Linked DNA regions of Macaca mulatta. The protein of the gene in region 1 interacts with the protein of each later gene in a pairwise test. Links are inferred from orthologs where the notes say so. Each region holds a gene or a part of one and is shown in the gene's direction. Other genes may lie near its edges.

Region 1 (4,080 bases):
ACTTGCAGCCTCAGCTTTCACACTCCAGCCCTTAAGTTCACTAAGAAGGTCTGAGTTTCTGCTGCAGATGGTGGTGTTAACTGCTCCAACTCTTGTCCTGTCTTGCTTAGTTCCTACGGATATTTTTGTTTCTTGTCATTTGAAGGATTAAGAAACAAAAACAATCCAGAAATTGATCGGTTTTTTTAGACCAGTTCCATCCCTTCTGGATAACCAGATGTTAAATCGTGAGATCAGAGATGCTGTTCATCAGTCCCAACAAGATGGCCTACAGATCGCATTCTCACCTCGCCTTGCTGCTGCTTTAATTCCAACTTCTATTTCTTCCCTTATAGTTTTCTATGGGAATGAGGCGGATACAGGAAACACCCTGTCTCCTCTGTATTTTTGTAGCGGAATTTTCTATTTAAGGGGCTCATTAAAGCATAGTATTTATACACATTACTGGCATTGTTTCTTGTGTTTGAATAAAGGATTCTCCTAGGTAGGAAAGTGGTGGGTAAAAGGTGGGTATGATCCAAGAGAGGAAGGCATCTACTGTATTATTGCTAAGGAAATAGGGGAACTGGATTTGGTGAGACTCTGCAGAATTCAAGTGCAGTTTGGGGAAAGGATTCTGTGTGTGTCTCCCATTTAGAGGCAGATGGGGCCAGATTGTTCTAGAGATCCAGACTGAAGTCTCTGAGCTCCGATCCTATCCACCCCTCACCTGTGGTCACACACCACCTTGGAGCAGCCCTCACCCTCCCCATGCAATTACGACGAGATGAGCGCAGACGTCACTCCAGCTCAGACATTTCGCAGTCTCCTCCCCGAGGGAAAACCAAATACCTCCAGCCCAAATCAGGGCTGTTGAGGCCAAATCTGCAAGAAGGTTGCAGGCGAGATGGAGGGTTCCCTCTGCGCCTGAAAGCAGCCAAGTCCTCGGGTTGGGGGGACTCTTCAGCACATCCTTCTCTGGACAACAAAACATCATCACTGGCTACAAAATACATGAAAACTGAAGTTTTTGTTCTTTTAGCTTTCGAATTTACATTTTTGGGAGCAGTGTGATTCTTTCAAGTCTAGCAGTGCATTAAGACGGTCTGAGCGTTTCCGTTCCGCCCTCCTCGCTAAGACCACTAGCAGCAGCACCTCTGCGCGGGTGCCGAGGACTCCACCGCCCAACCCGAGTTAAGTCTTGGAGGCTCCTAAAATGGCTGCAGCCGCTTCCAGGCCCCTCCTCTTCCGCGGCTCCGCCCAGCGCTACGTCCTCCTTCGCCCCGGAAGTGGAAGTCGTGCTGAGGTCAGAAGGCGGAACCGCTGCTGGGAGACGGCGGGAGCTCTTTCGCCATGGCTGCCGGGCCGATCTCCGAGCGGAACCAGGGTAACTGGAGGGGGAAAGTCTGGAATGGGCTCAGCGTGGCTAGGAGGCCCCTACTACAGCCAGAAGTGCCTCTGCAGGGGTGGGAGACTGGACTCATCCATTCCCCAGAGGGCGCGAGACCGGCCCCGTGCCTCCTGGGGGCGGGGTGGCCAGGTGCTGGCTGAGGCCTGTGGGTGTGATACTTACGTCCAATCCCCTGCTGAGTTCTCACTCAAAAAAACAAAAAAATCCACTCAGAATACTAAATTAGACTTCAGAGGATTCCTGAAGTCCTGGAGAGAGAAGTTTAAGGGTTTAACTTTTTTTTTTTGCTCCTGTCCCCTACCCGCGTCCCCAGTTCCCCCGGTTGGGTTCCATCTTCATGTTTCCATCACCTCCTTCTTTCATGTTATACTCTCACCCTTGCTCTAACTTTCTGCTCCCTCCCTTCAGATGCCACTGTGTACGTGGGGGGCCTGGATGAGAAGGTTAGTGAACCACTGCTGTGGGAACTGTTTCTCCAGGCTGGACCAGTAGTCAACACCCACATGCCAAAGGATAGAGTCACTGGCCAGCACCAAGGTGAGTACATGACAAGGGGCAATTTGCTTCCGGAGGGTCCCGGCAGTATTCACAACTGTTTTGGAATAACATGAGCAACCTAAAGTATTTCTTTCTTTTAAGCCTCTGTTCAGTTTATTTCTGGAACCATTCTTAAGTGAGATTGTTTCTTTCTTGTTCTTTGTGATTAGAGGGTAGATGAGTTTTACCCCATTTTCAATCTCTTATGTTGTTAACCTCCTCTTCTCCACTTCTCCAGGCTATGGCTTTGTGGAATTCTTGAGTGAGGAAGATGCTGACTATGCCATTAAGATCATGAACATGATCAAACTCTATGGGAAGCCAATACGGGTGAACAAAGCATCAGCCCACAACAAAAACCTGGATGTAGGGGCCAACATTTTCATTGGGAACCTGGACCCTGAGATTGATGAGAAGTTGCTTTATGATACTTTCAGCGCTTTTGGGGTCATCTTACAAACCCCCAAGATTATGCGGGACCCTGACACAGGCAACTCCAAAGGTTATGCCTTTATTAATTTTGCTTCATTTGATGCTTCGGATGCAGCAATTGAAGCCATGAATGGGCAGTACCTCTGTAACCGCCCTATCACCGTATCTTATGCCTTCAAGAAGGACTCCAAGGGTGAGCGCCATGGCTCAGCAGCCGAACGACTTCTGGCAGCTCAGAACCCGCTCTCCCAGGCTGACCGCCCTCATCAGCTGTTTGCAGATGCACCTCCTCCACCCTCTGCCCCCAATCCTGTGGTATCATCATTGGGGTCTGGGCTTCCTCCACCAGGTAAAGCTTTTGGTTAAAATTTGTTTGTCTTAAGGTTGGGGGAGAGAGTCAGGAGGAAGAAAAAAAGAGCCTGAAAGGGGGATGGGACATGGAGTCAGTGAGTGATGGGAAGAGGACTGAGGGGTGATGGTAGTGGTGGAGAAGAAAGTTGTTGGGTTTCTTTAGGAGGGTGAAGTTGGTTGACTTTTCTAACATTGCTTTTGATTTTAGAGCACTGGGAGGAGGGGGAAAGAGCTCACCCTGCCCAGAGAGGCCAGATCAGGACAGGCTCTTTAAAGACATTTTCTCCTCACTACCATTAACTTTTCCTTTTTCCATTTCCTCTATAGGCATGCCTCCTCCTGGCTCCTTCCCACCCCCAGTGCCACCTCCTGGAGCCCTCCCACCTGGGATACCCCCAGCCATGCCCCCACCACCTATGCCTCCTGGAGCTGCAGGACATGGCCCCCCATCGGCAGGAACCCCAGGGGCAGGACATCCTGGTCATGGACACTCACATCCTCACCCATTCCCACCAGGTGGGATGCCCCATCCAGGTAGGTGTGCTTTGTTGGGAGGGAAGAGCTTGGTAGAGCATCTCTGTTACCTCTCACCCTGCTGCCCTTTGTTCCTCAACAGTAACAGTTTCAGAGTTTCCTTTCCTTCAGACATTCTATTATAAAAACATACAAAATACTCTCTAACATCCACCTCCCTGTATCCATTTCTTAAGTTTTTCTGACAAGAAGACTATACTTGCTGGTTTTTATTTCTTTAACCTTTAGTTCCATTCTCTTCTCTGACTCCAGCTCAAAGTGGTGACCTAATTGCCAAATCTCAGGGACACTTCTCCTCCTTATCTAGTTTGACCTCTGATGTACTTGAAACTAGTCGTGTCCTCCTGTTTGAAATTCTCGTCTCTTTTTGCTTTTGCTTTTCTAGATCCTCCACCCCTCTGACTCCTTAATCTCAGCTACCATGATAGACTCTTGTCTACTTGTGCCTAGATTTTTGTGCTTGTTTCTCTTTTCTGCATATATCTATAGTTTTAATTGAGCATATACTGATGCCTCCTAGATCTGTATCTCTAGTCCATAGCTGTTGACATTCCGGATCCTTAATGCTTTAATGCTGCTGCTTAATAGATAGCGTCATTTTTCTGTCCCTCTCCTTCAAACCCATTCTTTCTCTAGCAGTCTTTTTTTTCAGGTGCTTAATTCATGAATCTGAGAGTGATGTTTGACTGCTCCCTATCACCCCACTCTTAATACCAAGTCTTATTTAATATCAGTGGCATCTCTCCCCATGGCCAGTGCCCTAGTTCAGTCTCTCATTCCCTCATTATTTAACACTTAATTTATTGTAGTAATCTCCTTCCACTTGGACTCCAGTT
Region 2 (3,937 bases), on another chromosome or scaffold:
ACTCCGGGACTCAAGAAGTCCTCCAGTTTTGGCCTTCCGAAGTGCTGGGGTTACAGGCATGAGCCATGGTGGCAAGCCCTCATCAGTTATTTTTCTATGATTCTGTCTCGCTGTCCCCTCCTTACAAGGAAAGTAATTTTGAAACAACCAATCCAGTCTTGGTTCTTTGTTTCTGCTTTCTTCAGCCCTTCTCTGTCTATAAAATCAACCTCTTCTGCTCAGCTCATGGGAGCACTTATTCTAATTTAATAGAGGTGTTGCCCAATTCTAGAATCACAAATAAAATTAAGAACTTTAACAACAAAAGTTAAAAAATGAGAATCAGCAACAACAACAACAGAAAAGATCTTTAAATGTGTTGTAATTTTCTCCTTTGACAGGTTACAAGTGCAATTGAATAAACCAAACAAAAAATGTCATGGTTAGGTTCGGTCTTTACTTCCCAAATGAGGGTCAAGATGTAAGACAGCAAGAACCAACTTCTACCATAAAAAAGATCCGAATCCAAGAAAATGTGATTTTTCTTTAAAGCTGTTCACCGCAACGAAAGTTTCTTTTTAGTCTAGGAGACTAAAAGCCATCAGCTGACACAATCTCTTTTTTTCTTGAAGTTTCCAAAGGAAGGCAGGTGAGTTTGCACTAACTTCCATTTTCTCCCTGGCTTCCTTCTGGTGTCAGATGAGCGTCCCCGCGCTCCTCCCGGACAGCCCTCATGGTCCCCGGCTATCATATATGGGGGGGTTGGGGGGTGGGGGTGGGGTGGGGGTGGGCGAGATGGCTTTGTACAGGAAAGAGGGGCGGCAGGCACGGGGAGCACGGGCTCCAGCCCCAGGAACACTCAGTCGGCGCAAAGGAGAGGGAGAGAGCGAGTGCGAAAGCCGAAACCCTCCCGGGGCCACGGAGTAAGCCCCCAGTACCGCTCCTCCGGCGCCCCACCCGCAGGCGGACCCCGAAGACGCGCCCGCGCCCGCCCCCGGCGACTCCGGCCCGGGCACGCGCACGAGACGGCGGGGGGAGGGGCGGGAGAAGGTGGGGGAGGGGCGAGCGGGGAGAGGCCCCGCCCCGACCCCTCAGCCCCGCCCCGGCCCCTCAGCCCCGCCCGCCGCGATTATAGCGGATGACTCAGGGCGGAGCTCCGCGTCCAACCCCGGGCCGCGGCCAACTTCTCTGGACTGGACCAGAAGTTTCTAGCCGGCCAGTTGCTACCTCCCTTTATCGCCTCCTTCCCCTCTGGCACCGAGGAGGCTATTTCCAGACACTTCCACCCCTCTCTGGCCACGTCACCCCCGCCTTTAATTCATAAAGGTGCCCGGCGCCGGCTTCCCGGACACGTCGGCGGCAGAGAGGGGCCCACGGCGGCGGCCCGGCCAGAGACTCGGCGCCCGGAGCCCGCGCCCCACACCCGCGCCCCGGCGGGCAGACCCCGACCCAGTATGAGCGCCGCCACCCACTCGCCCATGATGCAGGTGGCGTCCGGCAACGGTGACCGCGACCCCCTGCCCCCCGGCTGGGAGATCAAGATCGACCCGCAGACCGGCTGGCCCTTTTTCGTGGACCACAACAGCCGTACCACGACGTGGAACGACCCGCGCGTGCCCTCTGAGGGCCCCAAGGTGAGCTGGGCCCGCGGCCCGCCCTGGTCGGCGGCGCCACCTCGACGGCAGGCGGCGGGGAGTGGGTTGGGCCGGGGGGACGCCAGGCGGCGGGGCCCGGTGGTCGGCGAAGGCCCCTTGCGGGCGGACACCGGCTCCGCGCCCCGCCACACACTCCCGGTGCTCCCGGACGAGTCCCCGCTCCGGACCCGCCCTTTACAGGAGTCGGGGCGAGAGGAGGCCCCGCGATCCGGTGGTCCGGGAAGCGACCCCGCAGTGGGTCCGGTGCGGTCCACGGCTCGACTCGGGGCGGAGGGCCGCGTGTCCGACGCTGGCCTCACGCTCCCGGGCTCGGAGGGGGCGGCCGGCCTGGTCAGCTCCGGAGGCTCCGGCCCGCCGCGGCCCCTGCTGCCGGCTCGGCCTCCGGTCCCGGGACCCGCGGCGCACCCCGCTGACCGCGGACTCGAGGGGGACCCTCGCAAGCTTGGATGGTGGTTTTTGGGAGGAATTTTACCGCTCAAGTTCTCCAACTTGGTTGAGGGGTATCTTGTTTGCTGTCCCATCTTAGGCACCCAATGACTCAGGAGGCTGGTGTCAAAACATTCATATATATGTGCGCGCGCGTGTGTGTGTATTTTAAATTAAAATTGTATTATTGTTTGAAAGTGCTTTCAATACGAATGTATCCTAGTATGACTTGTAAAATATAAAAGAGGGTGCACTTCTCCCCAGCAGTTTCTAAACTAGAGATCTGAGACTTACAGTTGGCCATTGCCTTACCACATTGCCTCACACTGGAAAGAGAATGATACGTGTATATTTATAATGGCATTCGCTTCCTGCCTTGTTATGGTATTAAAATACTTAGAATTTGTTACCAGTACACAAATAACAGAGTAATGATACTCTTGGGAATACAGCAGAAGTATGTCTCATTTACATATATGCAACGATATTCCTAATCCCCAAGAGCATGAAATTTGAAAACGTAAATTTGGAATGAGTCTGTTAATTTTCAAAAATCATAGTTATACTATTCGTTCAATTTTATATAAATTTGAGCTTTCAAAATAAAAAGTTTTTTTAAAAAAATATGTTATACTTAAAGCGTAATTGTTACTGCCGTCTGGGCAAGATAAAAGCAGCAAAGAGCTGGTAAATTATTTTGAAGATTTTAAAACTCACCAAATTAAAAATACTTTGTAACCCATTATTTTAGAAGAAAGACCTGTATTATTTCCCTTCATTTTAATGCACTTTTTGTTTTAACAATATTGATAAAACTCCGGTGCCCAACAGTGAGACACTGTACAGGCAGCAGTTTACATTTACGAGAGATTACTTGTGTATTTATTCTTGAAAATTAATACAAGAGGCTGTAATTAGCTGGGGTGGGCACAGTTGCATATACCTTTTTGTGTGTGTGTTCAGCCCATTTTTGGGTGAAACTGACACTCATTTCAAACCACCTTTCTTAGGCGTCTGCGTGGATGTACCTGATCTTTAGTGTGGTTTGCAACTATTATTTTGAGGCCTTCTTCCTGTGGACATAGGGACAGTGGTATCTGCTGGCAGCCTTTGTTGTGAGTGAAGATCAAGTTTGAACATAGACATTCCCAGCACTTTGTTCTCAGCATGAAACTTACCCAGCAAGTTGAGATATTCCTGTACCCACCTGGTGCATGGGTTAGGCTGTGGTTTCATAAACCTTATTAAAAGAAAAAAAGCAGGTTTAGCTGCCATTATTCTTCTCAATAAATAAAAAGTAAGAACTATTACATCAGAAGTCTGATGCTGGAAAGGTTTCTTTGAAAATTTCATAGTCAAAATTTTTAAGTTGAAAGGTCCTTGAAGATCTCTTAGTTAGAAGATCTCTTATTTTCTGAAAAACCCAGAGAATTCAGGTGTGACTTTGAAGGTCATCCAGCTAGTACCAATTACAGGGAGAGAACTAATGTCAGGAAAGTTCTAGTAAGAGGTGGTGTGTCTGTTAGAAGTTGGAAGTGAATGTTTTGTGAAACTGAAGCATGCAGGCTAGAATACCTGATTATCTTTGTGCCCTCCTGGCCACCAAGTTATTGGGTCACTGACCTCTGTGCTGTGGTTGCTTGGATTTTGATGATGGGACATCATCAACTCAAGAAAAGAGTTCTCTTTACGAAGTGAATGACTTGAGACTTGTCAGCATGGCACCAAAACTTAAGGAGAAAACTAACATTCAGCCCATTAGCTGTTTGTGCTTCATTGCTTTCAACCCTGTTCTTAGACACACACAATATCTGGTTGCACTTGTGTGAATTACACCTTGCTGGAGACTAAATGTAGTGGAGAATCCTAGAATATCA
Region 3 (3,500 bases), on another chromosome or scaffold:
AGTCAGAAAACTGAATAGCATTTGAAGGCTGTTAATAGAAAGAATAGAAGTTACGGGTAGTTTCATTATATTTGCTAATTTAGCAAGTTTGTCTTTAGTTGCTTTATTCTTATAATCAAATTTTAATAGGATCTTTAAATTTAAAAAACATTACATCTGCTGTATAACTGATGGGCATTCTCATACAATGCCGCATGGACTATTGATACTTCGTCATCTTTTAACATTGTCTAGATGAAAACTTTATTTGAAATTTTCTTCTCTTGGTTACTTTTTAAAAAATACTAAAATAAACATTGGGTATTTTTCATTCTTTCCCCAAATGATTATGTTCATTTTATAGTATAGAGAGGAATGAAAATCCAGGAGATTTAAGGCAATCCACAGTATTATGTGGAAATGTTAATCATTTTAATGCTTTTTTTTGTTATTAAATAAAAACGTTCAGCATTCTTCACAATAATTTCAATAGTTATCTCTAAATCTTTTTATAGAATGAAGACCAGCAAGAAGTAATCCTTGTCAGAACAGATCAGTCTGGAAGAGTATGGCCTGTGAACACACCCGGAAAATCTCTGGAATCACAAGGAGGAAGAAGAAAGAGACAGATGGTATGTTTAACATATGTCTTTGTTTATTAATTCAGAATTCCTTCTTTCCCTTGGGGCTTTCTTCATATCAGATTACAAAATATTTTCTGAAAAGTAACTTTTGAATGCCAATATTGGAAGGTAGTAAATGATGTTGTTCTTACTTTTATTCTTAGTTATATCTTTTTGCCTTTTACAGAATGGAAAGTAATCCGACTGTGTTTTTTCAAATAGTTGTTAACATTGAATGTTTAAGGCAATTTTAATTTTAGTTTACATTTCTTTGATGTTGTTTTCAGCTGCTTTTGGCATACTTGCTATAGCTCTTAGGGAAAACTTTGGTCTCCCAGAGCTGTTACTAGTATTAGACAGCTAACTTGAGACCTGGTGATGGGGTATCCATACACAATAATGGCTTAATTATGTAGGTGTCATAATCCTTTATAAAGCTAATTTTCTTTTCCATTTTCCAACTCTAGTAATTAGTTTTTAGCACTACCTTGAGGCTCTTGAGATGGCAAAAACAACATATTCAGCTTTCCCAAATTAGGTTTTTTATTTTAAATTTGGAAGATCAGACAAGTGATAATTGCATATACAAAAGAACTGTTCATTCAGAATATTTCTGTCAAATGTTTATTTTTTGCCTGTTCAGTGCCTGTGTTGCTAGAGAGTCTTAATTAATTCATTCAACAGATAGAAGTGGGATAGATATGTCTTCTAATGTAATGGGAGGAATTTGGTGGTTGGAGAGGTGGTACAGGAGGAGAATAGTAAAGGTTTGAATTATATGAAATGGTGGAACTGACTAGGGATCCATAAATGCATTGTCAGAAGGCATCGAGGGCCCTTTTTGAGTTGCATATTACTTAACAATTTAGGTATAGGAGTAAAGAAGGTAGACACTTTCACAAGTAAAGTTTGTTCTTTGAGTATGATGAAAAGACAAGAGGGCCAGAAATTAAGTGTCTGGAGCCAGGGGGTGATTGAAGTCAAGGGATATGAGGTTTAAGCTAGTAAAGACAAGAATAGTAATGTTGGGAAATATAGTTGCACCCCTGTTCCAAAGATCTCAAAGAAGTTAAAGATGAGGTTTTATTTGGATAAGGGAATGTGAGAGCAGCATTAGAAAGATTTGATTTGGGAGGAAATAAATAGTATTTTTCTGTTCTACACCAGGGTATGGAACCAACTGATAGGAACATCTGGGACTGAATTAGATGGAGACCAGAATATCAGCTTTGCTTTTGATAAAGCTGTTTACAGAACAAGGGTTTAATAATTAGAAGTTGGTGTCTTAGTTCGGGCTACTATAACATAGACTGGATGGCTTAAACAACAGAAATTTGTTTCTCACAGTTCTGGAGACTGAGAAGTCCAAGATTAGGGTGCTGGCAGCTTCATTGTCTGATTAGGGCATGCTTCTGGGTTTGTAGACGATAGTCTTCTTGTATAATCAAATGACAGAAAAGAGAGAGAGAGAGAACAAACGCTCATGTCTTTTAATAGAGGTACTGTATTAGTCAGGGTTCCCTAGAGGGACAGAACTAAGAGGATAGATGCATATATGAAGGGGAGTTTATTAAGGAGTGTTGACTCACGTAATCACAAGGTAAAGTCCTACATAGGCCATCTGCAAGCTGAGGAGCAAAGAAGATAGTCCAAGTCCCAAAACCTCAAAAGTAGGGAAGCCAACAGTGCAGCCTTCAGTCTGTGGCCAAAGGCCCAAGAATCCCTGGCAAACCATTGGTGTAAGTCCAAGAGTCCAAAAACTGAAGAACTTTGAGTCTGATGTTTGAGGGCAGGAAGCATCCAGCATGAGAGAAAGATGAAGGCCGGAAGACTCAGCGAGTCAAGTTCTTTCAGCGTCTTCTGGCCACCCTGGCAGCTGATTAGATGGTCACCCACGCTGAGGGTGGGTCTGCCTCTCCACTAACTGCCAGTCCACTAACTCAAATGTTAATCTCCTTTGGCAATACCCTCACAGACACACCCAGGAACAATACTTTGCATCCTTCAGTCCAATCAAGTTGACACTCAGTATTAACCATCACAGGTTCTGATCCCATTTCTGAGTACTTCATGCTCATAGCCCAGTTACTTCCCAAAGACCTTGCGTCTTAATACCTTCTTATTGAGATTTCAACATGTAAATTTTGGGGCAACATAATCATTAAATTCATAGCAGTGGATTTGCTAATACTTCACCTCTGTTTTTGATATACTTACTCCATCTCTGGATAACTTCAGTCTTCCCACCACAGTGGTAAGGAATTTTAACTATAAGGAGAAGAAGAGCAGAAAAGAGAGAAGAAGGGGTAAAGCAGTTTTGCTCTTTCATCAAAACTCATAAAGCAGTTAATATCATGCTTCCATCCCCAGGGAAGAGGAGAGTAAAGAGGCAGAAGTAGGGAGTGTAATTCTAATGGAAGTTTTTTCACAAGGAAGCTGGCAGACTAGGGATAAACTGGAAGGAAAGGTTGTGATTACATAGTGGAATTTTTACATTTAACATCAGATTTTTATGTAATCCATTAAATGCTTCAGAGACTCATGTTTTCATTAAATTAATAATGTTCATTTTGTCATAGATTTCAACCCATGAGGAAAAAGAAAGGGTCAGATACTTTCATGATGATGATAATCTAAGCCTAACTGATTTGGTCAAAAATGAAAAGATGGGAACAGCAGAAAATCAAAACAAGCTCTTTATGAGAATGGCATCTAAGGTAAGATATATTCCTAGGATACCTCTGAATTTTGAGAAGCTGGTTATTCAATGTAACAGGGATCTGCTTTTTGGAGAGATCCGATTCTCTCTAATCTTGGTTCATTTTATTAAATTAAATCCTTTGTAAGACTTATTAGAAACATGCATTTTGGAATTGATCTGGTTGAGAAATAGACATT
Region 4 (3,500 bases), on another chromosome or scaffold:
CATTCTCAAAAAAAGAGAAAAGAAAAATGCAGATGAAATCAGCTTTGAGATAATTATTTTACAGTTATTGCGGTAGGAGAAATTTTAATGAAAGAGCTGCTAGTGTCGGCAAGGTGACAGTGAAGCAGGGGTAGGGGACGTGGTGCAAGACAGGGAGGAGGGCCCTCACCCTTGGGGATCCTGCAAACTGCATGGGACCTTGGTGAGCATTTTGGTGTTTGATCCTGAGACTGAGGGGGAACCACTGAAGGGACTGAGATGGGTTTGAGTGGCTTTGCCTTAGAGAGCACTCATATTTGGGATTTGGGATGTAGAGACTGAACTGGGGAGGTCCAGGTAGAAGTGAGGAGACCAGCCAGGCCACAACCAAGGTGCTCATGAGAGAAGCCAGCGGCATGGACCGGAGAGTGACATAGGACCAGAGAGAGGCGGGTTGCACTTCAGAGATGTGGAGTAGATATTTAGGAATCCCTGTTCAGGGGCAGGCCTGAGGGCTTCCAAAGAATAGAGTAGAGGGAGGGAAAATGAAAGTTTACAGGGGAGAAACCTGGCAGACACTGCCTTAACCAGATGACCAAGGTTAACATCACCAGAGCTAAGTCATGGTGGTAGCATGTACTTCCTTATCTGATAGGATCAGAAGGGCACCTCACTTCTGTTGTATGCTCCTCCAAAACAACGAAACCCTATAACCATGAGAACACATCACCTGGGCCTCTTGCGCCTTTTAGAAAGGGCAACCTTCTGATCCCTCCCCATCCTTCTTCCTCCACTAGTGGTGGTCGTGGTGACAGGACTGGGCGCTATGGAGCCACTGACCGCTCGCAGGATGATGGTGGGGAGAACCGCAGCCGAGACCACGACTACCGGGACATGGACTACCGTTCATATCCCCGCGAGTACGGCAGCCAGGAGGGCAAGCACGACTATGACGACTCATCTGAGGAGCAGAGTGCGGAGGTGAGGAGGGGCGAGCTGCGCCAGGCCTGACTGGGATGGGCTCCCGAGGGCCCTCTGTGTCTGGCTGCAGCACCGTGTGCAGGCGGCTCTCCACTCCCATGCCTTCAGACTGTGCTCGGTGGCTTTGCCTCACCTGGAGGGCCTGTTCCCACTCCCCTCTCTGAGGGCTCCTCTCCCAACCTGGGTCTCCCTGGCTTCCACATGCTTGGCTCTGTACTTCTGAGGGCCCCTGGCCACCACTCTTTCCTTCTCCCTGTTGTTCAGTTCGGGCCCATGGCTCACTGTGAACCCTATACTGCCCACTCCCAGCCAACTTGAGCACTTGAAGAGCCTCTTCCGTGGGACCCGGCGTCTGGGGTTGGGAGGACAACCAGGGGAATGCAGACTACCAAGCTGAGGAGCTCTGGGAGGCCAGCCATGGACATTCCCAGTGGTGACAGAGCCCCTAGACAGAAGGGAAGGATACTTCTGGAAAAGCCAGTGCCATGTTGGGTAGTTCACCCTAGCCTAAGGGATGAGGCATGATGTTTACACCATCAGGAGCCCCTACCCGAGGGGAACAAACAGGCTTGCCTTAGGGGAATCCCAGTTGGAGGGGCAGTCAGGGCCCTGGTCCACACGAGCAGGCAGCTCTCCTGTCCAGCAGGCTGGGAAGGGTGTTCTTGCAAGCCCAGCCCTAGGGGGCAGGCTGTGAGCTGCCCACTGCCCTCTGGAGGGTCCAGGGCGAAAACTCCTTTGGTGGACTGCCTGGCTTCTCCAGTGGCAGCTGTCAAGCTGTGCCCAGACGTCTCCAGGAGCACTGGGCCCTGGCCAGGGTAAGAATGGAGCACCAAGTTATCTGGCGCTTCCCCACTGTGGGTAGGAGGGCTTTGGCCCGAGGCCTGGTCTGCTTAGTCCTGGAATAGATGAATGGGCAACAACCCAGAGCCCAACAGCCATACCATTTTGAGCGTGGTGTGTGGTGGAGGACTGGCCAAGGCTGAGGATCAGGGACTGAGGAGGAAGTGTCTGCAGCCCTCACACCACCTCTACCAGCTCTTGCTGGCTGGCTCTGGCTGAGATCTGAAGCTGTTCTTATGCCCCTAGCTTAGTTGCAGGGTGGAACCATAGGAGACACACAGCCTTCGGTGGTACAGTGAGCAATTGAGCACACCCCCTGAGCTGGCCAGAGAGGAGGGGGAAATCAAGGGTGGGGTCTGGTGTGCTGACCCCAGGCCGTCTTGCCTCAAGGAGGTTTAAGCTGTGTTTTGTCAGCTACCTTTGAGAGATCCCCCCCAACACCAATACTGCCACCTACCTCTCCCCACCCCCTGAAGGCAGTCCCCAAAAGGACCCCATGGAGAATTTCCAGCCCCAGAAGGATTGCAGGCCAGGGCCTGCCCACCCTGCCTGCCTGAGCCTTTAGCCGGAGCCCGCACATCCCTGGCTTTCAGAGCCTGCCCGCCTCACAGAGCCAGCGGCCAGCTCCTAGGCCTGCCCAGACTGACTGCCCGTCTGGTGTCACTCATCTCATTCTGTCGGCCAGGATTCCTACGAGGCCTCCCCGGGCTCCGAGACTCAGCGTAGGCGGCGGCGGCGGCACAGGCACAGCCCCACCGGCCCGCCGGGCTTCCCCCGAGACGGCGACTATCGGGACCAGGACTATCGGACCGAGCAAGGGGAGGAGGATGAGGAGGAGGAGGATGAGGAGGAGGAGGAGAAGGCCAGTAACATCGTCATGCTGAGGATGCTGCCACAGGCAGCCACTGAGGATGACGTACGTGCCCCCCATGGCCCCGGGCAGGAGGCCAGGCTGGGTCTCCTCCAGGGCCCTCAACTTTTCCCCACCCCTCCCTCACCCGCAACCTCAGTGCCTTTCATCCCTTCTCCCCCTCCAGCTACTATCCCCCAGCACTGATCCGTCCTCTGTGGGCAGGTCCCATTGGCCCCCCGGTCTGGAGGGAGGAGTGTCAGAGAGGCCGGCTTGGCCAAGGGGCAGCGGCTGTGGGTATCCGGCAGTGGTGGGTTTGGGCGGGAGAAGAGCAGTCCTGCACATTCCACTGGTCGTCCAGCCATTTTGCATGTGTGCATCAAGGGCCAGATACTCACCGGGCCAGTGCTGGCTATTGCTGGTAGCAGAGATGACACTGGGGCCCTGCAACCATTGGGGGAGGGGTGGGATTTTCTGAAATTTCCTTCTCCTTTTTCCCCATCCTCTTTTGTCAGCAGCCTGGCCTGGCCTCAGAGCCTTGGGTGGCTGTTAACAGCCTCCCCGCCTGCCTCCCTTTCCTCGCGTTTCCTTTTCATACATACTTCTCATGACAGCCACACTGAAGCCCCAGGAGGCCTACCAGAATAACTTCCAAGAATAGTCTCCCTGATCCTGGTCCTTCTTAGTCCACTCCACCGCCCCTCACCCCCCACCCCCATGAATTCTCTGAAATTCCCTCACCCCCTAGCCCTCCTCTGAAATCTGCTAGCTGCTCATTTTGTAGCAGAGAAAATCCCACTTGTGTATTTGAGGGTTTCTAAGGTCTGGCCCACCTGCCCTGTCCAGGGTC
Region 5 (3,500 bases), on another chromosome or scaffold:
CGGGATCTCAAGCTCACTAGGTAGGGCTCAGCAGTACCAGGTATCCTCACCGCCCCTCAGGCCTGACCTGGCAGCCTAGGTGTGATAAGTGGGCTTCTTCCACCTGCTTCCTGAGCTCTCACATCTGTTTTGTGCCCATTTCTATTACTTGGGTGCCTGCTTGAATTACCTGCTCAGCCTAGCACTCAAGAATGGGATCAGGTAGGAGGACTGACTGTTTCTGTCTGAAGTCAAGGTCAGGCTGCACTAGGGCATACCCACTCTTATTGCAGCTCTACTGGGGCTGTGACTGGGTCTTCAAGACAGAGGGATCTTCTCTTCCTGGGCTGGGGCTGGCCTCAGGGTGGCCCCACCCCCATGGACCAGGCACATACTAGGTCTCAGGTCTTCCCAGTAAAGTGGAGATCATAGTGTCTTCCTCATCTTCCTCACAGTGTTGTTAGGAGCATTAAATGAGATTCTGTGTGAAAGTGCTTAGCACAGTCTGTAAATTCTCAATGTATGTTAGCAATGACCATTATTTTTACTAATAATGCCACTATTCCACTCATACCTTTTAATTTCCAGCCAAGTATTGAGGTTTGCAATGTCGTACTGGCCAGCAGGTATCATTCTCTACAACTGGCAAGAATCAAACATTTATAAATCAGATAATTAATTTTCACATTATACCCTTGGTTTTTCAAGTTGGAAAACAAAACAAAACAAAAAACAAAGAAACAAAAACCATCCACTGACCAGAGCTTTAAGCAACTTTGTCCCAGGATGAGGGAGCATCTGACCATCAGGGCTGTATTTGGAAGGATCACTTCCTGAGGCCATGCCTTCTTTGTCCCTCTGACTCTCCGGCCCCAGACCTCAGGTCCGCTGAGGCTCTCTGGCTTCCTCCCAGCCAGTCTTCTGCTGACCACCTTGGATTCTCACTTCTCTCTCTCATCTTGGCTGGACAGTTGATGTCTTTCTGCCTTATTTCCTTCTCCCTCATTCATTCTCATGGTCATCACTTAGGGCTTTCTAAGAATTTGAATCCCTTACTGAGTGTTCATTATGGGCTAAGCACTTTATGTATTTTGGGGGCAGATTGAACAAGCATGACAACTGAGGTCTGCCAGGCAGTGACTGAAGGCCTTGAATGGGATCACAGTCCCTTATTGGATGTATTATCTATTGCTCCATGACAAACTACCCCACAATGTAGCATCTTAAAACAATAATAAATATTTATTGTCTCATATGGTTTCTTTGAGTCAGAGAGTTAGGAACAGCTTAACTGGATGGCTCTGGCTTGGTGGCTGTCATGATATTGCAATCAAGATGTTGCAATATTGTTGAGACTACTGGGGCTGCAGTCTCATCTGAAGGCTTGACTGGTGCTGCAGGATCCACTTCCAAGGTGGCTCACTCACATGGCTGGCAAGTTAGTGCTGGCTGTTGGCAGGAGGCCTCAGTTTCTCACCTCTCCTTGAGGCTTAGGACCTCTCCTTGAGGCTTCTAGAGCGTCCTCACAACATAGTGGCTGCCTCCTTCTAGAGTAATTGATCCAAGACAATGTAAAGTAGAAGCAGCAATGCCTTTTATGCCCTAGCCTCAGAAATCACACATCGTCACTCACTTCACAATATCCTATTTGTTAGAAGTGAGTCACTCAATCTGGCCCACATTCAAGGTGAGAACAGTCGGGCTCCATCTTCTAAAGGAAGCTGTATCAAAGAATTTGTAGACATGTTTAAAAATCACCATATTGAACCTCAGAGACCCCTTCTTCAGGGCTCAGTGCACAGTAGGGGCTCAGTAAATGCTGTTGCTTTAACCACATGGATGCCAAGACCAACCACATGGGAGAAGAATTCAGCTCTCTACCTTTCTTTCTAGGTCCATATTTCAGACTTAATAATCCTCTGCAATGTGACTGGTATTTCCATCTCATTCTATTCCATTCTATTGGCCCCAAGGATGCTGTGGGGCTTGGGTGGGGGTAAGGGCTAGCCTACCTTCAATGTGGGACTGATCCCCTAGGGAATGCTTACTTCTTTCCTCTTCTCCAGCTGCACATAGCTGGAGCCAATGGATACCTGAGGGCAGCTGAGCTCCTCCTGGATCATGGAGTACGTGTGGATGTGAAGGACTGGGATGGCTGGGAGCCCCTGCACGCAGCTGCCTTCTGGGGACAGGTAGTTCTCACCCACAGGGCTGTGGGGGAAGCCGGCACAGGGCTAACCTGCTAACATCAAGTTTTTTGGGCTGGCAATTGGTTTCAAAGAACATAAGACTTTAAGGCTTAAGGTGTTGACTATAGCTCATATGTGGGATATGAAAAGGCCTAGGGAGTTTGCAAAAACATTGGACAAATTGTGTTCTTTTTTTAAATTATTATTATTATTCTTTTTTTAAATTTTTTGAGCAAGAGTCTTGCTCTGTTGCCCAGGCTGGTGGAGTGCAGTGGCGCAATCTCAGTTCACTGCAACCTCCGTTTCCTGGGTTCAAGCAATTCTCCTGCCTCAGCCTCCTGAGTAACTGGGATTACAGGCGTGTGCCACCATGCCCAGCTAATTTTTTTGTATTTTTAGTAGAGACGGGGTTTCACCATGTTGGTCAGGCTGGTCTCAAACTCCTGACCTCAGGTGATCTGCCCGCCTCAACCTCCCAAAGTGCTGGGATTACAGGCGTGAGCCACCGTGCCCGGCTGACAAGTTGTGTTCTAATAGGATGGTAATCAGATTTGCCAAATAAGAAAATTTCCAGCATTTTTGCCCCCAGTAGTTTCTCCATTTGTTTCCAGACACAAAACTCTGATTGTCACTTATACCTAGTCCCTCCTTAGATACCTGCCAGCTCTAGAGTTACAGCCAACTCTTTCTTCTCCCTCTTCTTGGTGTGGCCCAGGCATTGCATCTGTCTGGATTCCCCCCATGGCTCTAGCATGCAGGCCTTCCCTGGAAATCAACTTTGTCCCACCATTCTTTGGGTCACATCCTAAGAGGTCTTGGACACTCTCTCCACCTCCTAGGCTTTCTGAGCTCTGGGCAGGGGGACACTGAGCTTCTTCCTGTGTTTCAGATGCAGATGGCAGAGCTATTGGTGTCCCATGGAGCTAGTCTCAGTGCAAGGACATCCATGGATGAGATGCCAATAGGTGAGTCCAGCACAACAGCTGGTGTGCACAAATAGACAGTTATCAATTTTTTGATGGGTAGAGGGAGAAATAGATAAATATATGGTTGTATAGACTGATGGATTGGTGTATAGATAGACAGATGGATTAATTAATGGATGGTAGATGAATGGACAGATGGACAGATGAAGGGATAGATGGATAAATGGATGAATGGATGGATGAGAGGGGTACATGGGTAGATATTATGAGGTATGGTTGACTGGATGGGTGGGTGGGTGGATGGATGGATGAATAGATAGAAGAATAAGTGGATGAGTGGGTAAAGGATGAATCTGAATAGATGGCTCTTTCAGCAGTGGGTAGATAGCTGGATGAAGGGGTTAAG
Region 6 (3,981 bases), on another chromosome or scaffold:
TTTTGTTTTCTGAGTTAGAGGCGACAGGTGGTGCAGCATTAGACACAGGGAAGCTCTGTGGCTTTTGTATTCATGAGCGCGAAGGTTAATGACGGATCCGTGGGTTTGAGCTTGTCAATACAGACGCCAGACAGCCCGATTTACGGGAACAGCCGATTAGAGGATTGGAGAGGGCGGTCGGTGAACTTCTGGATGTCTTTCGTAAGGGGAAGGCTCTATGGTCGCGTGCAGAGCGCCCGTTCCACGTCAGGCACCGACCATAGAGCAAGGCCGCCGCGGACTACCCAAGGGAAGGGGAGGCCGTGTCCTTTACAACTAGCCTCCCGTTGTTAGTCTAGTCTCTATAGTCAAACCTTCGGGACTCTCTAAAGTCAAAATTTTGCTTTTACTAAAGGCAACTGGGTTCCTTCCAGATTACGAACTGTATATCCACTTAATATCTATTTCGTATACCTCCTCCTACAGCGAAATTTGTGAGGCAGTCCTCTGAAGCACGGCCAATCTGGGGCATTTTTCCTAAAACGAGCCATCTCTACGCTTTAGTGAGCTAAGACAATAACTGCGATTGGTGGGCAGATTGTTTTGAAACCGCCCTAACGGCAAGGGGCGGGCCCCTGGTGAATTCATCTCTTTCCGGTTTCTTAAAGGCAACAGGAAGGAGGGGTTTCTGACGACCCTCCATTTGATTGGTTCTAGTGGTTTTACCCGCTCGGACTCCTCAAGGGGCGGGAGATATACACCAATCGGAATGTGTGTTACAGAGACACTTAGTTTGATGAAAGGACTGCGCAGGAAAGGCCGTCGGACGCTCATTCTGAGATCTCACCGCTGATTGGTCCAAAGGGTTACTCCCTTATTTTCATTGGGCTTTACTGCAGCCGGCGCGCGAGAGCTACCCAATCAGCGCACGCTCCGCCTCCTGCCTTTTCCCGCCCTCCGCTCCGGCCTCGGCTTCGACGTAGGCCAACGCTTCCTACCCGGTAGCTCGTAGGCCTTCTCGTTGCCGTTGTTTTGAAAACCGCACTCTGATTGGCTAGGTTTCCGGGCCCGCGCCCGTTGCCCCATGCACTGACCAATTGGCACTCGTATTACATCGGACGAGGCACGGGTGAAGGGGGAGGCGGTGGCGGCGGCCATTTTGAGCCGCCGCCGCCATTGGAGTGGGCCCCCCCCCTTTCCCCCTTCGCCTCCTGACAGGAAAGGTTTAAGGGGGACAGAGCCCTGGGAGGCCGGGCCGGGCTCGGGGGCCACCCCGGGGGCCCGGGCCATGGATGTGCGCCGTCTGAAGGTGAACGAACTTCGCGAGGAGCTGCAGCGCCGCGGCCTGGACACTCGAGGCCTCAAGGCCGAGCTTGCTGAGCGGCTGCAGGCAGCGTTGGAGGCCGAGGAGCCTGACGACGAGCGGGAGCTCGAGGCCGACGACGAACCGGGGCGACCCGGGCACATCAACGAGGAGGTCGAGACCGAGGGGGGCTCCGAGCTGGAGGGGACCGCGCAGCCACCGCCGCCCGGGCTGCAGCCGCACGCGGAGCCCGGCGGCTACTCGGGGCCGGACGGACATTGTGAGAGTGCGCGGGGCGGGGGCCGGGGAGCCCGGAGCCTGGGCCGAGGAAAGGGCTGTGGGACGCGGGAGTCCAGCGCCTGAGGTCGGGGAGACGACCTGAGGATCGGGGGATCCCGCTACCCGCCGCCGAAAAGGATCTGGGGACAAGGGCCCCGGCACGACCGGAGGGTGGATCCAGACGCTCGGTGCAGGGGGCACACTGGGGGAGGGGCCTCTGGGTTTCGGAGGTGAGGGACGGGGGTGGCGGGGAGGATTCCTTACCGTAGGGATCGGAGACCGGAAACTGGTTTCTGGAGCCGAAGAGAGTCGGAAGAACAAGAGGTTTTCCATTTGGGTTGGGAGGGTCTCGAAAATGGAGATCTTGGGGTTCGGAGCTCCTTGGGCTTGGCGGCCTGGCCAGCCCAGCGTGTGGGCTGCGGGGTGGGGAGCCGTGTTTCCAGGGTGGGGAAAGAATGTCCAGGTGTGCGGGGCTGCGAGAGTTTTGAGGAAGCAGAATCCTGGAGTATGCCGCTGGATGCGATCCTGGGAGTTCTCCTATTTGCTTCGGGGGTGGGTGGGTGAGGTGGAGGCGCTGGTGTCTGTGGCTGGGGAGGGTCTAATGGACTCAGTGCTTTGGAGTTTGGCTGGTGAGCATTTAGGGGCTGCGGGAGATTGAACGAGGGGGCACCCCCATCTCTCTTCCGGGGCTGGAAGGCCACCCTTGAAGCAGGCACAGCCTGGACATTTGGTGCTGGGAGATCTGGGGACTTTCTGGTTGGCTTCTAGAAGAGGTGTAGGGAGCCCTGGTGTCCAGAGGCTGGAGGGGGAGAGGATTTTTCCCTCAACAAAGGATCTGGGGGTCTAGAGCTAAGAAGACTGAGGACAAATAACTCTGAGGCTGCTGCTGAATGGTCTAGAGCTAACTGTGGGCTTTTTGGAGAACGGGGTAGCTGCGGGTGGGATGGGGGCAGATGAGTTGGTAACATTCCAAGTGGATGAAATATGTGGCAGGAGACAGAGGATCCTGTGTCCAGCACAGAAGGAGTATGTATCTGGCTTAGCGAATATGGGGAGGGGGGAGGCTGTAGGGAGCAAAGAGAAAGAAAACCTGTTGACTTCACTGGAGGCCTCAGAGTGGAGTGTGGGGAATGTTTCTGGACCTGAGCGTCTCCCAGAGATATGGTCGGTTCCCAGAAGCAGTTATTTGTGTACCCAGGGAGTGGGGGCCTTCAGCGGGAAGCACAGAACTCTGCATCAGCCAGGAGGTGTGACTCTGGGAATGGGTTCGGGTAGATCTGCGGTTGTCTGAGGAGAGGAAACCCTGGTATAGGACGGAGTGAATCTTCAGTTAGAAAAAAGCAACTTTCGGGCCGGGTGCAGTGGCTCACGCCTGTAATCCCAGCACTTTGGGAGGCCGAGGCGGGCGGATCACAAGGTCAGGAGTTCAAGACCAGCCGGGCCAACATAGTGAAACCCCATCACCCGTCTCTACTAAAAATACAAAAATTAGCCGGGCGTGGTGGTGGGCGCCTGTAGTCCCAGCTACTTGGGAGGCTGAGGCAGAAGAATCGCTTGAACCTGGGAGGGGGAGGTTGTGGTCAGCCGAGATTATGCCATTACACTCCAGCCTGGGCAACAAGAGTGAAACTTTGTCTCAAAAAAGGAAAAGGAGCTTGCTTTCTTTCTCTTTTTTAAAAATACAGATGGGGTCTCGCTATGTTGCCCAGGCTGGTCTTGAACTCCTGGGTTCAAGTGATCTGCTCACCTCAGCCTCCTGAAGTGCTGGGATTACAGGCATGAATCACTGCACCAGGCCTCAGGGCAGGTTTCTAGTAGGACTGGGAAATGGGGGGACTGGAAAGGTTAAGGAGTAAGTAGAAGGGATTCTGGCGTAAGAATTTGTGGAGTTTTTCCGAAAAGAGGGCACCATGGGACTTGGGGCTAAGGGAATGAGGACAGAAATGAGGTAACAGTGGAGACAAGATTTGGGATTGGCATTGGATACTTGTTCATAAGAGATAGAGTTTCCCGGAGGGAGATAACTCGAGTGTGGATTTGGGATAGGCAATGGCCTAGAGATTATCTAGGATCCAGGTGCTGGAAAGAGAACTTCCCATTGCAGAGACTTGTGAAGAAAGGAGTGGGCCTGTGTGTGTGTGTCTAGAGCAGGAGGGACCGTGGCAGGAATGCCTAGCAAGAAAGGGTAGTGGGGTAGTAGTTACCTGGTGGTCTGGCCAGAGAGTCGTCTCTGAGAGGAAAGCGAATTAGGTGCTTTGGAGCGTAGATTCTAGACTCAGACAGACTTCGTTTCAAATCTGGCTTAAAGATATTGGCAAGTCACTTCATCTCTGTGAGCCTGGTTTCCTTACGTGTAAAATGGGGTTAATCAACAAATAGTGTGTTCGCTCTAGCCCCCGGGGGTGTTATGAATGAAATCG
Region 7 (2,206 bases), on another chromosome or scaffold:
GTATTTATATTGAATCTCAAAAGGCATTCACATCTCACATCCTCTGTGATAGGCTCCTAATTCATATTTATCAAGGTCCTAAATAAGTATCTAATTACTCTGCTGTGGGATGTTGTATATTTCTTCAGATCCGGGCTCGAAATCCAGCATTTCAGCCACAAACTTTGATGGACTTTGGCTCGGGTACTGGTTCTGTCACCTGGTGAGTAACTTTTTTCAGCCCTGTCTTGGTCAATTTTAGCTCTAGAAAGCCATACTTACACCACTCAAAAATTAAGAGACTGGAAAACCAGAGGGAGAATAGGCAAGTTGGGAATCTATAATGTTTCTTCCATCAGATTGGGCAAGGCAGAAGAAGGTATATGGATTGGGGCCAGAACTTAAAGAAATGTCAAGTGAAAAAAAGGCGCATGTGTAGAAAAATTAAAAAGAAAAGGAATTATCAATCAAAGTTTTTTTGCCTACAAATAGTATTTTGAGTCTACCTTTATTTTTCTCTTTTTGGAGATGGTGTCTCGCTCTGTCACCCAGGCTGGAGTGCAGTGACACGATCTCGGCTCACTGCAGCCTCCACTCCCGGGTTCAAGTGATTCTCCTGCCTCCGCCTCCCAAAGTGCTGGGATTACAAGCATGAGCCCCTGCACCCAGCTGAGTCTACCTTTTTTTAAAAACAATTGTAAATAAAACAAGAAAATAACACTATTAGTTATTTTATTACTAACTAGACAACTATTTTAACATAACACTCTCTTTTCCCAGGGGTGGGGTTGGGTGTAAATGGGTCTCTTGTAGAGATGACTCTTGGTCATGGGAATTGGTGATTTATAATAATTTTGCCATCTTAGGGCTGCTAACAGTATTTGGGGCCAGAGCCTACGTGAATATATGTGTGTGGACAAATCAACTGCCATGCTGGCTTTGGCAGAAAAACTACTGAAAGGTGAGTACAAGAGCATTTCCAAAGTTGAGGGAGTTCAGAAAGCAAAGGGGTACTAGTAAAAGTGTTTTACTGGGAAGTAGAGAAGAGGGTAAAAATTAAGATGAATCTGGTTTACTTTTAAAGTTATGGTCAAGCAAAGGGTGGTATTAGAGGTTTCTGCTGGACTGAGGATGGGTTGGGTAAGATTCAAAGGACAAGAGGCCTAATATTCTCCCTGCCGTTTTTTTGTTTTGTTTTGTTTTTTGTTTGTTTTTAATTAGAACCTGTTACCCAGGCTGGTCTCAAACTCCTGGCCTCAAGCCATCCTCCCACTTCATCCTCTGGGGTAGCTGGGATTACAGGCATGCACCACCATATCTGGCTCATCCCTGCCCTTTTTGATAGACACTTTCCCTATCCTTGGGGCCATGTTTCTTATCTGGATATCTCTTCAGTTTATACCTAACTTCCTACACACTCAAAGTTGCCTCTTCTTTTCTCCACAGGTGGTTCAGAATCTGGGGAGCCTTATATTCCAGGTGTCTTTTTCAGACAGTTTCTACCTGTATCACCCAAGGCAAGTGGCAGTGTTTAGAATATTCTAAATGTGGAATGTGGCAGATGGAAAACTATGGCTTGAGCTTTGCAGCCCAGCACTGAGTGTCAGAAGATAAAAGAAATTTATCAGCTAGGACTTTATTATATTCTTGGGATGCAGAGATGTTGAGTGTGTCATGTTCTTTGTCTTGGTCCTCAGGTGCAGTTTGATGTAGTAGTATCAGCCTTTTCCTTAAGTGAACTGCCCAGCAGGGCTGACCGCACTGAGGTGGTTCAAACCTTATGGCGTAAGACAGGTCATTTCCTGGTGAGTTAAAATTCCTTGTTCTCCTTAAGTCTTAAAGCAGCTTCATGGATTTCATGCCTTTGCTTCTCTCGTTGTCTTCATTCTTCACCATTTTTCTCCTTTATGGGTTTCTTTATCCCTCTTTGAGGGTCTCCATCCTGATATATAATGCGTATTTCTTTTTAGGACCCCTTTTCCATCTATAATGCTTTTACAGAGCTACTGACATTTACACTTTCATGTAATTTAAGTCTTCATATTTTTCCCTTTTGTGAATAGGTACTGGTGGAGAATGGAACAAAAGCTGGGCACAGACTTCTCATGGAAGCCAGGGATCTGGTCCTTAAGGTAAGGCTTCTTCCCTCACTCCCCCACGCATATGTCACTAATTACTGTTATTCTTTTGAAAACTAAAGAGACTGTCATATATTGACAAGGGTGAC

What was found.
Region 2: the proteins of SF3B4 (region 1) and BAG3 interact in binary tests that used the Homo sapiens proteins (3 or more experiments, as listed by UniProt). The two-hybrid records come from large-scale screens. The link is inferred for Macaca mulatta from reciprocal best matches to the Homo sapiens genes SF3B4 and BAG3.
Region 3: the proteins of SF3B4 (region 1) and CWF19L2 interact in binary tests that used the Homo sapiens proteins (3 or more experiments, as listed by UniProt). The two-hybrid records come from large-scale screens. The link is inferred for Macaca mulatta from reciprocal best matches to the Homo sapiens genes SF3B4 and CWF19L2.
Region 4: the proteins of SF3B4 (region 1) and RBM10 interact in binary tests that used the Homo sapiens proteins (3 or more experiments, as listed by UniProt). The link is inferred for Macaca mulatta from reciprocal best matches to the Homo sapiens genes SF3B4 and RBM10.
Region 5: the proteins of SF3B4 (region 1) and PPP1R16B interact in binary tests that used the Homo sapiens proteins (3 or more experiments, as listed by UniProt). The two-hybrid records come from large-scale screens. The link is inferred for Macaca mulatta from reciprocal best matches to the Homo sapiens genes SF3B4 and PPP1R16B.
Region 6: the proteins of SF3B4 (region 1) and HNRNPUL1 interact in binary tests that used the Homo sapiens proteins (3 or more experiments, as listed by UniProt). The link is inferred for Macaca mulatta from reciprocal best matches to the Homo sapiens genes SF3B4 and HNRNPUL1.
Region 7: the proteins of SF3B4 (region 1) and METTL17 interact in binary tests that used the Homo sapiens proteins (3 or more experiments, as listed by UniProt). The link is inferred for Macaca mulatta from reciprocal best matches to the Homo sapiens genes SF3B4 and METTL17.

What each region holds. Positions count from the first base shown.
Region 1 is NC_133406.1:117,227,288-117,231,367, forward strand, and holds the start of SF3B4 (splicing factor 3B subunit 4), read left to right. Parts: upstream 1-1,280; 5' UTR 1,281-1,332; coding exon 1,333-1,366; intron 1,367-1,798; coding exon 1,799-1,927; intron 1,928-2,165; coding exon 2,166-2,708; intron 2,709-3,037; coding exon 3,038-3,244; intron 3,245-4,080. UniProt on the Homo sapiens protein: Component of the 17S U2 SnRNP complex of the spliceosome, a large ribonucleoprotein complex that removes introns from transcribed pre-mRNAs.
Region 2 is NC_133414.1:131,748,305-131,752,241, forward strand, and holds the start of BAG3 (BAG family molecular chaperone regulator 3), read left to right. Parts: upstream 1-1,137; 5' UTR 1,138-1,433; coding exon 1,434-1,613; intron 1,614-3,937. UniProt on the Homo sapiens protein: Co-chaperone and adapter protein that connects different classes of molecular chaperones including heat shock proteins 70 (HSP70s), e.g. HSPA1A/HSP70 or HSPA8/HSC70, and small heat shock proteins (sHSPs), e.g. HSPB8.
Region 3 is NC_133419.1:108,239,949-108,243,448, reverse strand, and holds part of CWF19L2 (CWF19-like protein 2), read left to right. Parts: intron 1-494; coding exon 495-611; intron 612-3,181; coding exon 3,182-3,319; intron 3,320-3,500.
Region 4 is NC_133426.1:47,199,478-47,202,977, forward strand, and holds part of RBM10 (RNA-binding protein 10), read left to right. Parts: intron 1-735; exon of another isoform or gene 736-776; coding exon 777-960; intron 961-2,485; coding exon 2,486-2,716; intron 2,717-3,500. UniProt on the Homo sapiens protein: Binds to ssRNA containing the consensus sequence 5'-AGGUAA-3'. May be involved in post-transcriptional processing, most probably in mRNA splicing. Binds to RNA homopolymers, with a preference for poly(G) and poly(U) and little for poly(A).
Region 5 is NC_133415.1:91,774,793-91,778,292, forward strand, and holds part of PPP1R16B (protein phosphatase 1 regulatory inhibitor subunit 16B), read left to right. Parts: intron 1-2,045; coding exon 2,046-2,171; intron 2,172-3,057; coding exon 3,058-3,133; intron 3,134-3,500. UniProt on the Homo sapiens protein: Regulator of protein phosphatase 1 (PP1) that acts as a positive regulator of pulmonary endothelial cell (EC) barrier function. Involved in the regulation of the PI3K/AKT signaling pathway, angiogenesis and endothelial cell proliferation.
Region 6 is NC_133424.1:52,406,491-52,410,471, forward strand, and holds the start of HNRNPUL1 (heterogeneous nuclear ribonucleoprotein U-like protein 1), read left to right. Parts: upstream 1-1,181; 5' UTR 1,182-1,267; coding exon 1,268-1,562; intron 1,563-1,736; exon of another isoform or gene 1,737-1,930; intron 1,931-3,981.
Region 7 is NC_133412.1:93,842,905-93,845,110, forward strand, and holds part of METTL17 (ribosome assembly protein METTL17, mitochondrial), read left to right. Parts: intron 1-128; coding exon 129-202; intron 203-845; coding exon 846-940; intron 941-1,425; coding exon 1,426-1,496; intron 1,497-1,676; coding exon 1,677-1,784; intron 1,785-2,042; coding exon 2,043-2,111; intron 2,112-2,206. UniProt on the Homo sapiens protein: Mitochondrial ribosome (mitoribosome) assembly factor. Binds at the interface of the head and body domains of the mitochondrial small ribosomal subunit (mt-SSU), occluding the mRNA channel and preventing compaction of the head domain towards the body.